2 linked regions of the Drosophila melanogaster genome follow. The protein of the gene in region 2 interacts with the protein of the main gene of each other region in a pairwise test. Each region holds a gene or a part of one and is shown on either strand. Other genes may lie near its edges.

Region 1 (3,930 bases), on a different chromosome or scaffold from region 2:
CCCATGTAAAACTGTCAGCTTAAGCGTAGAAAAAACAAAACATGATTCGATACACATGCTTATTGAAAAAAAAAAAAACATTTTATTTTCTTTGGTTTTGTGGTCATCCGAAAATAGTTGTGAGCTCGAGGTGTCCCATAATTAATTTTTAACCATTTTTAGGCCAATAATTAAAAATGCATTTATTACGACCGGATGGATGGTAGGCATCGATCGCAGGGGCATTTATCGCCCAATCGTTTCGATGTGATGGATTTGGGATACGGATTCGCAGGTGGATGTAGTTTGGGTTCGGATTCGGTTGCTAATGCTATGCATAGGAATGGACAAAGGTAGCCTATGTCAAAATCTCTCATGGTGTGAATTAATAAATTAAAATAAAATAGTTTTGTTACGCAAATCATAATTTGTGTACCGTCAACATTCACTTTTATGCTTTGACTAATCTGCGCACCGAGTGTTTTGCATTCAATAGATTTTGGCAACTTATTCATTTTGCATAAAATATGCAAAGTGCGGCAATAGTTGGCACCCATTAATCATGGTCGCATTTTATTTCCATTTAAAATTGTAATTTTCTCTTGTTGCTACTTTTGAACTAATGCATTTAGATCTATTAATTAATGACAAAGTAATTTTGGTTTCCCATTACAAACAGAAAACAACTTATCGTATATTTCTTTGACAGATCTTTGCATCTTTAATGGCCCAAAAAGGGAACATAGTTTCGGTTCCATTTCACTGTTTTTCATGGCTCACGAAATTGGCGTGAGAAAGTTGAAAACCATTTTTTTTTTTTTTTGGCATCGACCAGAAAACATGTGGGCTAACTCATTATCTGGTGGCCAAGTTGCCCTTGGCTGGTTTATTTTGATTTGTGGGCAGAATTTCACCCGGCTAATGAGATGCACCCTGTCGGATGCACAAGATTTTGAAATATATCTCAGGTGGCAAAGTGGCAAGTGTGTAAGTCCAAATTGGAAAGGAAGCAGCAAAGCTTGCTATCTCCGCTTCGATATTACACCATTTGCACATTCACTCCATTAGTATGGAGACCTGCCAATTAGCCCTATAAGGTCTATATCTGCTTGTATTCCGTATGCATCTGCTTGTTATGACAACTAATTTCCGCTGGAAGCTGGCATATCCATTTGATACGCTGTGCTTTCGATTTGATCGGGGGTTATTTACCTTCACTTTTTTAGTTTGAAATCCAATTCAAATTCAATACTATCATTTTGTCTCAATTTGGCACATTTAAAGCTGACAATATATCGCCCAACACTTACGCCCCATCGAATGGAGACAAAAACCTAGACCTTGGGCCAGACCAAAACTGATGCGAAATACTGAAGTCCCCGGCATATACAATTTTCAATTTCCATTTGATAGCTCAGGTTTCGAACAATAAAACAAAATAGAGACAATGGTCCCGTAGACAAAAGTGCATTTTAAGTCGGTCGAGTAACCTCGTCCGCCTATCTTCGTCATCAATATTTACATATTACTCTGGGACATTCAACTGATCTGCAAAAACTACGAAGCTAAACAAAACTTTTGTATTAATTTAAACGACGATTTGATTGTCCACTTGGCAGCCATGGATATGCTTGGGTATTTTAATTATATTTACAATTAAATGATTAAGTAGTTTCTCAATAAATGTTTTTACTGCCTGTATGAAAAAATCTAAATATAAATCTATAATCAAATTCAATGAATTAATTGCAATATTGAGATTGAAGTTAGTATAGTTACTAGGGATCTGATGAATGAATAGTTATTTGAATTTTGTTTATATTCTGAAATCGTATTAGATACTTGCTTGGAGTGAACGCACACTTAATATATATTATATTTATAAGGCAAATGTTCAAAATGATATAGTTACAGCTCGACTAACTTGTTTACAACAAATGCAGATTTTTTTTTGTCGTATCTGTATCACCCATTGTTGGGGCTTCCTCTCGCTCGACTTTTGTGGAACCCCATGTAAAGTCGATACAAAAGCCCACTTGCCACCCAGCCAAATGAATCCGAACAACCTCTTCGCCACGCATAACAAATGTTTTATGACCCCTCGACTGTTGCAACTGTGTTGGCTGCTGTTTCACGATTTGTTTCCGATTATAAACAAGTTGGGCCCGTGGATTGGTATAAAAGGCCAGGTGCCCGGTTGACCCATCATCACAGCACTAAGAAACTCGGACAGCGAGGGAGCATCCGGCTTAAGACAGCTAACCAGCAGAGAGACACCCACCCAAGCGGCAGCATGAAGATATTTGTGGTGCGTTGGAACTTGGACTACCTCTATGCCAATTGGATTACAAGGGATTATAATGATTGCTTCTCTTTCAGACGGTTCTGATGGGCGCCATGTGCCTGAGCCTCAGCCAGGCTGACATCAGCTTGACCCAGGCGGGTTACAACTACCGCATCCAACAGCAGCAGCAGCAACAGCAACCGCCCATTGTGGCCCACCTGTTGAACCAGCAACTGCAGCAGCAGCAGCAGCTCCAGCCCCAGCAATCCTCGCACCCGGTGCTTCCACCTCTCCCACTGCCCTACCTCCCGCCCGCTGGCCAGTTCCATTCTGCCCAGCCTGCAGTTCGTCCCACAGCCGGATCGTTTCCCATGCCCGCCGGCTTCCCCGTCAATTTCCAGACCGCTCCCATCCAGCAGCAGCGACGCGCTCGTCCGCGTGTCAGGATTCCCAAGCGTCCCATTGTGACCAAAAACTTTTTCATCCACTCGGCGCCCGAGGAGTCTGAGGATGAGGTCCAGGACGAGCTGAACCAGTTGGCCCAGCAGCCCCGTAACCACTACAATGTGCTGTTCGTCAAGACGCCGGCTCAGACCAATCGCGCGGCGGCTCTTAACTTGGCCAAGACCCTTAAGCAGGAGAAGACCGTGGTCTATGTGCTGGCCAAGAAGACGACCGCCTCCGATCTGCAGGATGCCATTGCCGAGGCGCCACAGCACATCAATAAGCCGGAGGTGTTCTTCATCAAGTACCGCACTCCAGAGGAAGCTCTGAATGCCCAGCGGCAGATTCAGTCACAGTACGATACTTTGGGAGGAAGTTCGACCATCACCGACGAGGGTGTGGCCCCCATCACCTCGGTGGTGGGATCCCTGGATCCTCCAGAGGAGGAGGAGGAGGAACAGCAACAGCAGCAACATTCAGAGGGACAATTTGCGGAGAACGGTGCCGGAAACTCTGGCGTCGGTCCCATCGGCAATCATTATTTGCCCGCGAACCAGTTCTAAGTATTCTTCATTGCTCGTCACATCCAGATCTAGTTAGCTGTCATCAACACCACTTAGGTTTAAGTGCTTGCCAATGTTACCCAAATCCGTATTAAAATATAATTGTTAAAAAAAAAACCATTGAATTTTAACTAGATGACGATTTTAAGAAGTGATTAATAGTACTTTAATAAGTCCCACTAAATGGGAATGAATTTAGCTTTCCAAACTGAACGAACGTATTATTGGAATAAGAGGAATTTTTTTGGATCCAAAGTATGTTCTAGGAAAACACATTCAATACTTGCACTTAAGCTCTGGCGGCTTGTCTTTTGAAGCTGGACATGTTTCAAGTACATCCTTCATTTCAGCAAAGGACTGCGCAAGCGCCTTGGCGATCTTTTGGTGATCAGTTGCCTGACAATGTCGCCATGCGGATATGGCCAAAATGATGTCATGTTCACGGGGATTGTAGCAACAGGCATATCCATCTTCTACAGAAGGTCCATATCCCATGAAGGCATCATATTTGGTGGCCACCTGCGAAGTGGACATTCGAAAGTGCGTGGACTTTACATATCCTGGCGAAGAGAAGAACTCCGGAACAGGTAGGCAGTTCTCCACCGCCATTAGTTTAAGTCCAAAGAGGTGACGATCGACACCCTTTCCCAGAAGCGCCAG
Region 2 (3,930 bases):
CTGTCCCAACTCCCGACCTCCATCGATGATCATTTGATGTATGTCATTATCTTTTCGCTCGAACGGTTTTAGGGTTACATAACCCTTAGGATGGGTGGCATTACCTTGAGGCGTGACCGACTTTTCGAAGAACGGCATCACTTGATCATAGCTCCAGCCCGTGCTTCCCATTGCCGCCCAGCCATCGAAGTCCCTGCGATTGCCACGAACATATAGCATGGCATTCACTCCTCCCGATCCTCCCAGCATTTTGCCTCGTGGCCAATAGCAGCGACCATCTTTCATTGCCTGACAGGCCTCATCACTGGGCTCTGTGAAGTAATTCCACGTGAAGTTCGTGTGCTGCAGTCCAAAGAATAGTGCCGGCAACTGCGAGGGAATATAGAATATTATATATAATATATTAGTTTCTAATTATTGCATACTTATAGACATAAAATGATTTTTGAGGGAAATTTTAAACTAATGCTATGAAGAATGCTACAATAATTTGTATGCAAATTTAAATGCAGTAACATCAATTGATTTTGGTAACTCTATTACCTCCTTTTATGAGAATTGTTTATTCCATCATTATAATTACATTTACGATTATTATTTTATGGTATGGTGTTGGTGTGGGTTTGTTTTGCCTCGTTAGTAGATGGAAAAGCTCAAGAGTGGAAAAGTTTAGTTTAGATTGTATTTTACAGAGCTTTGTGTGTAAGATTAGAAAAAACCAAGGTACGATCTCATGGCATATGCCAATATATGATGGCACTCACCTCAGATTCGACGGGTGGATCACCGCCCGCCTCCAGGACGAGCACTCTCCAGTCGGGATTCTCGCTCAGCCGGCTGGCCACCACGGATCCCGCAGATCCTGCTCCAATGACCACAAAATCGTAGGGTTGACTCAAATCGCCAACATAGTCCACTGGCCACTGGCTGGCGGGCGAAACTAGACACTGGGACGATAGAAGCGTTTGCACAAGAATGGTCACCATGCCACTCCATAATCCAATGCCAGGTGTTGCTGGAACGGATCCACATGGATCTGGGCCAATGGCCGCCGCATCCAAGTTAAGATTCTGGCCACCGTCTAGTGACATTGCGTTTTGCTTTTCCGTTAGCCTGTGCCACTCGTTTGGACCCGGTTCTATTTGACTCTGAGGCGCAGTCGCGGCTGAAGATTCGCTTTTATAGCCACTGATCTGATAAGCAGGTACAGTGCATCCTCCCCCTGCGGCGACCAACCGACGAGGACGTTGACTTAGCCATTGGCAGAGCGAGAGCGAGATAATAAATACGCTTAATGGTGATTAATTTAATTTTTCAATACACAAGAAGAAAATACAAAACGGTAAGGAAACCAAACTAAATTTTAATGTAAATGTTGTAAAAATGTTTTGCGGATTTCTTTAAACATTCTTAGCAGCTTTATAAAACTTTAATCAATGTGAAAACTGTAAAAAGCTTACTTTGACTTTAATGCTTATCGAAACATCGTTGTTTGTCTTTTTTGTGTGTGTCTTTATTTTTAACGATAAAGAGTGAAGCATTATACGTTTTAAATAAATGTTAGTAGTGTATAGAAATTGTTCAGTTTCTGAATCGGCATCATCACGATGAGAACCAGAATAGCAATCGAAATGAGTTCATCGGTCATTTGAACTACTTTCTTCCAATTACTTTATATATTTTTCGATCGCTTCGCATTCTGGATGCAATTGGAATATTTTGATGAAGTGCATATAAACAAATAGCCATAATATAATATAATATTAATAATTACATATGTGCTATATTTCTAAAATCAAAGCATAGATTTAAAAAATAAGAAAATTGTTTTTAAAATTTTATAACATTTTTTAAACTTCATATATAATTAAAATATAATATAATATATATTTGAATAGCATTGCTCGCCATTTAAGAGCTGCAGCCAAGTTAGAATGAAAAAAAAAACAACGTAACAGAGATTTCCTTGATAACACATTTAGATAAGAAAAATGGCTTTGAAAACTGAGTTCCAAACTGCACAGTTTTTATCGCTCCGAAAAAGTCGTAACCAGATTAAACGAGTATTATAAAATCATTTATAGCACTTGGCTCGACACAAACAAACATTAAGACGGCAAAAAAAATCAAAGCAGTTCAGCTTAATGAAAAACAAAAAGAAAAAAAAAAACAAAACAAAAATGCAGCTTTACAAAGTAATTAAAACGCTTGCCCGAAAAGGCGCTTAAAAATTAGAGACAATTATTTTTGGGTTATTTTGGAATTCAGGTTAGCGCCACCTGGCGGTCAGAGCCCGCTGTTCATGGCCGTGCGAATAAATTGAACAGGGGCAGGGGGTACGGCATTCGCTGCTGCCGCAATCAGACTGCCAACGGGCGCCAAATTTAAACCAGCACTTAGATCTATACAGAAAAAATGTCAGATCAATAAAAATATTTATGTAATTTCAAGCTTTTGTAATTGTATCTTAAAATGTATTCAAAGTTTACGAACAAACTGGATTGAGTTTACGAAAATAGTTGAAAATTCTGGTACAATACTGTGTTCATTCATGAAAATAATAATCCGAACTATATCTTTGAATGGTATCTATTCTTAAGAAGGCTGCAAAGTGCTGCAGAAAACAAGATCTTTTGCATTCGAAAAGATTGAAATGTCTGGTATTTCTTGTGATTTGATTACATTTTTCGGAACATTTCAACACATACCCGATGGATCGTTGATGGGCAATTGATCATCACCAAATACGGTTCTGCTTGCAGCTGCAGTTCCCGTTTCAGTTGCCGTTCCTGTTATCACATCCTCGGCGACGAAGAACTGTTGCGACCTGGCCAGGCTGGAGTCCAGCAGGAGCAGCAACACCACGAGCAGAATGCACTTGGCGGGCAGCTTGTGGAGCGTCATCTTGCGTTCAGTGGCGGACGTGGAATGACCAGTTCAATCGCCGCGCACTCGCATGAAAAGTCTCGAAAACCTCTTCCGATTTGCGGCCCAATGCAAAGCCATGGCCCACTGAGACACTCAAACTGGTAAAACTCGTAAGCTCGCGCTGCCATTTGCCATTTAGGTTCAGTGGCCGCTCATAAATTACGAGCAAAATCGATTGAGAACAATGCTTTCATATCATGAATGAAACTAACAGATACTCCTTGCCATATTTCCATAATTACAAAAAAATATTTGAAAGAAATGTTTATAGGAAAATAGTTAGATTAACATAAGTAATCAAAATAAAAGGGAATAATTTTAAAAATCTTTTTAATTATTTAATTTTTAAGCTACTAAGCCACAAAACGAATATGCTCTCCAATCGAAACTATACCGGAATACAAAATCATAAGTAATCACTACAAAATTGCGAAAGTTCCGAACGCTGGGAAGTGCTATTACAAGTTCTCACACTTTAAAACAGAGAATTGAGCATAAATGAAAAACTAAATGAATTGAATTGAAAATGGGAAACAAACAGCACCATGAGTCAAATGAATGCCAAGATCATTACCAAAGCAAATTAGCTGACCTGCGGAATGACAACAATGAATAGTTCTCCATTATACTATATGGTTAGTTTCAATTGATATATGGATTACTAATCGCAGTGGCTGCATTCGTTGACTCTCAGGCGAAAAAAAAAAGAAAAAATCCAATGCCATATGTGGCCATTAGCCAGGCATGCATTTAACTTAATAGTTCTCGAAGGGCTTATCTAGGTTGCAAGATCGTTTTTCTATCATATCCATAAATACCTTCTCATGATTGGCAAATGTATTATGTATATATTTATAAAGGTTCTCCCATTGCACGAGTAACACGTTTTTTGTTGCAAGTTTACTCTATATATGAAAGCCAACGCAGCCATCGTTTGCTCGGTTTAAAAATTAGTTTATTGCTTTAAATTAAAGTACAAAGGAAATGATATCATGGTACCTA

Evidence for each region.
Region 1: the proteins of fiz (region 2) and TwdlW interact in a two-hybrid assay, tested with the Drosophila melanogaster proteins (one large-scale study listed by BioGRID).

What each region holds. Positions count from the first base shown.
Region 1 is NT_033777.3:17,140,655-17,144,584, reverse strand, and holds TwdlW (TweedleW), read left to right. Parts: upstream 1-2,180; 5' UTR 2,181-2,272; coding exon 2,273-2,287; intron 2,288-2,358; coding exon 2,359-3,270; 3' UTR 3,271-3,377; downstream 3,378-3,930. Other genes in the region: CG5265 (uncharacterized protein), read right to left, coding at 3,547-3,930.
Region 2 is NC_004354.4:14,907,916-14,911,845, forward strand, and holds the start of fiz (fezzik), read right to left. Parts: upstream 1,794-3,930; 5' UTR 1,092-1,793; coding exon 765-1,091; intron 370-764; coding exon 1-369. Other genes in the region: CG14406 (uncharacterized protein), read right to left, coding at 2,287-2,402, 2,709-2,904; CG12398 (uncharacterized protein), read right to left, coding at 3,928-3,930.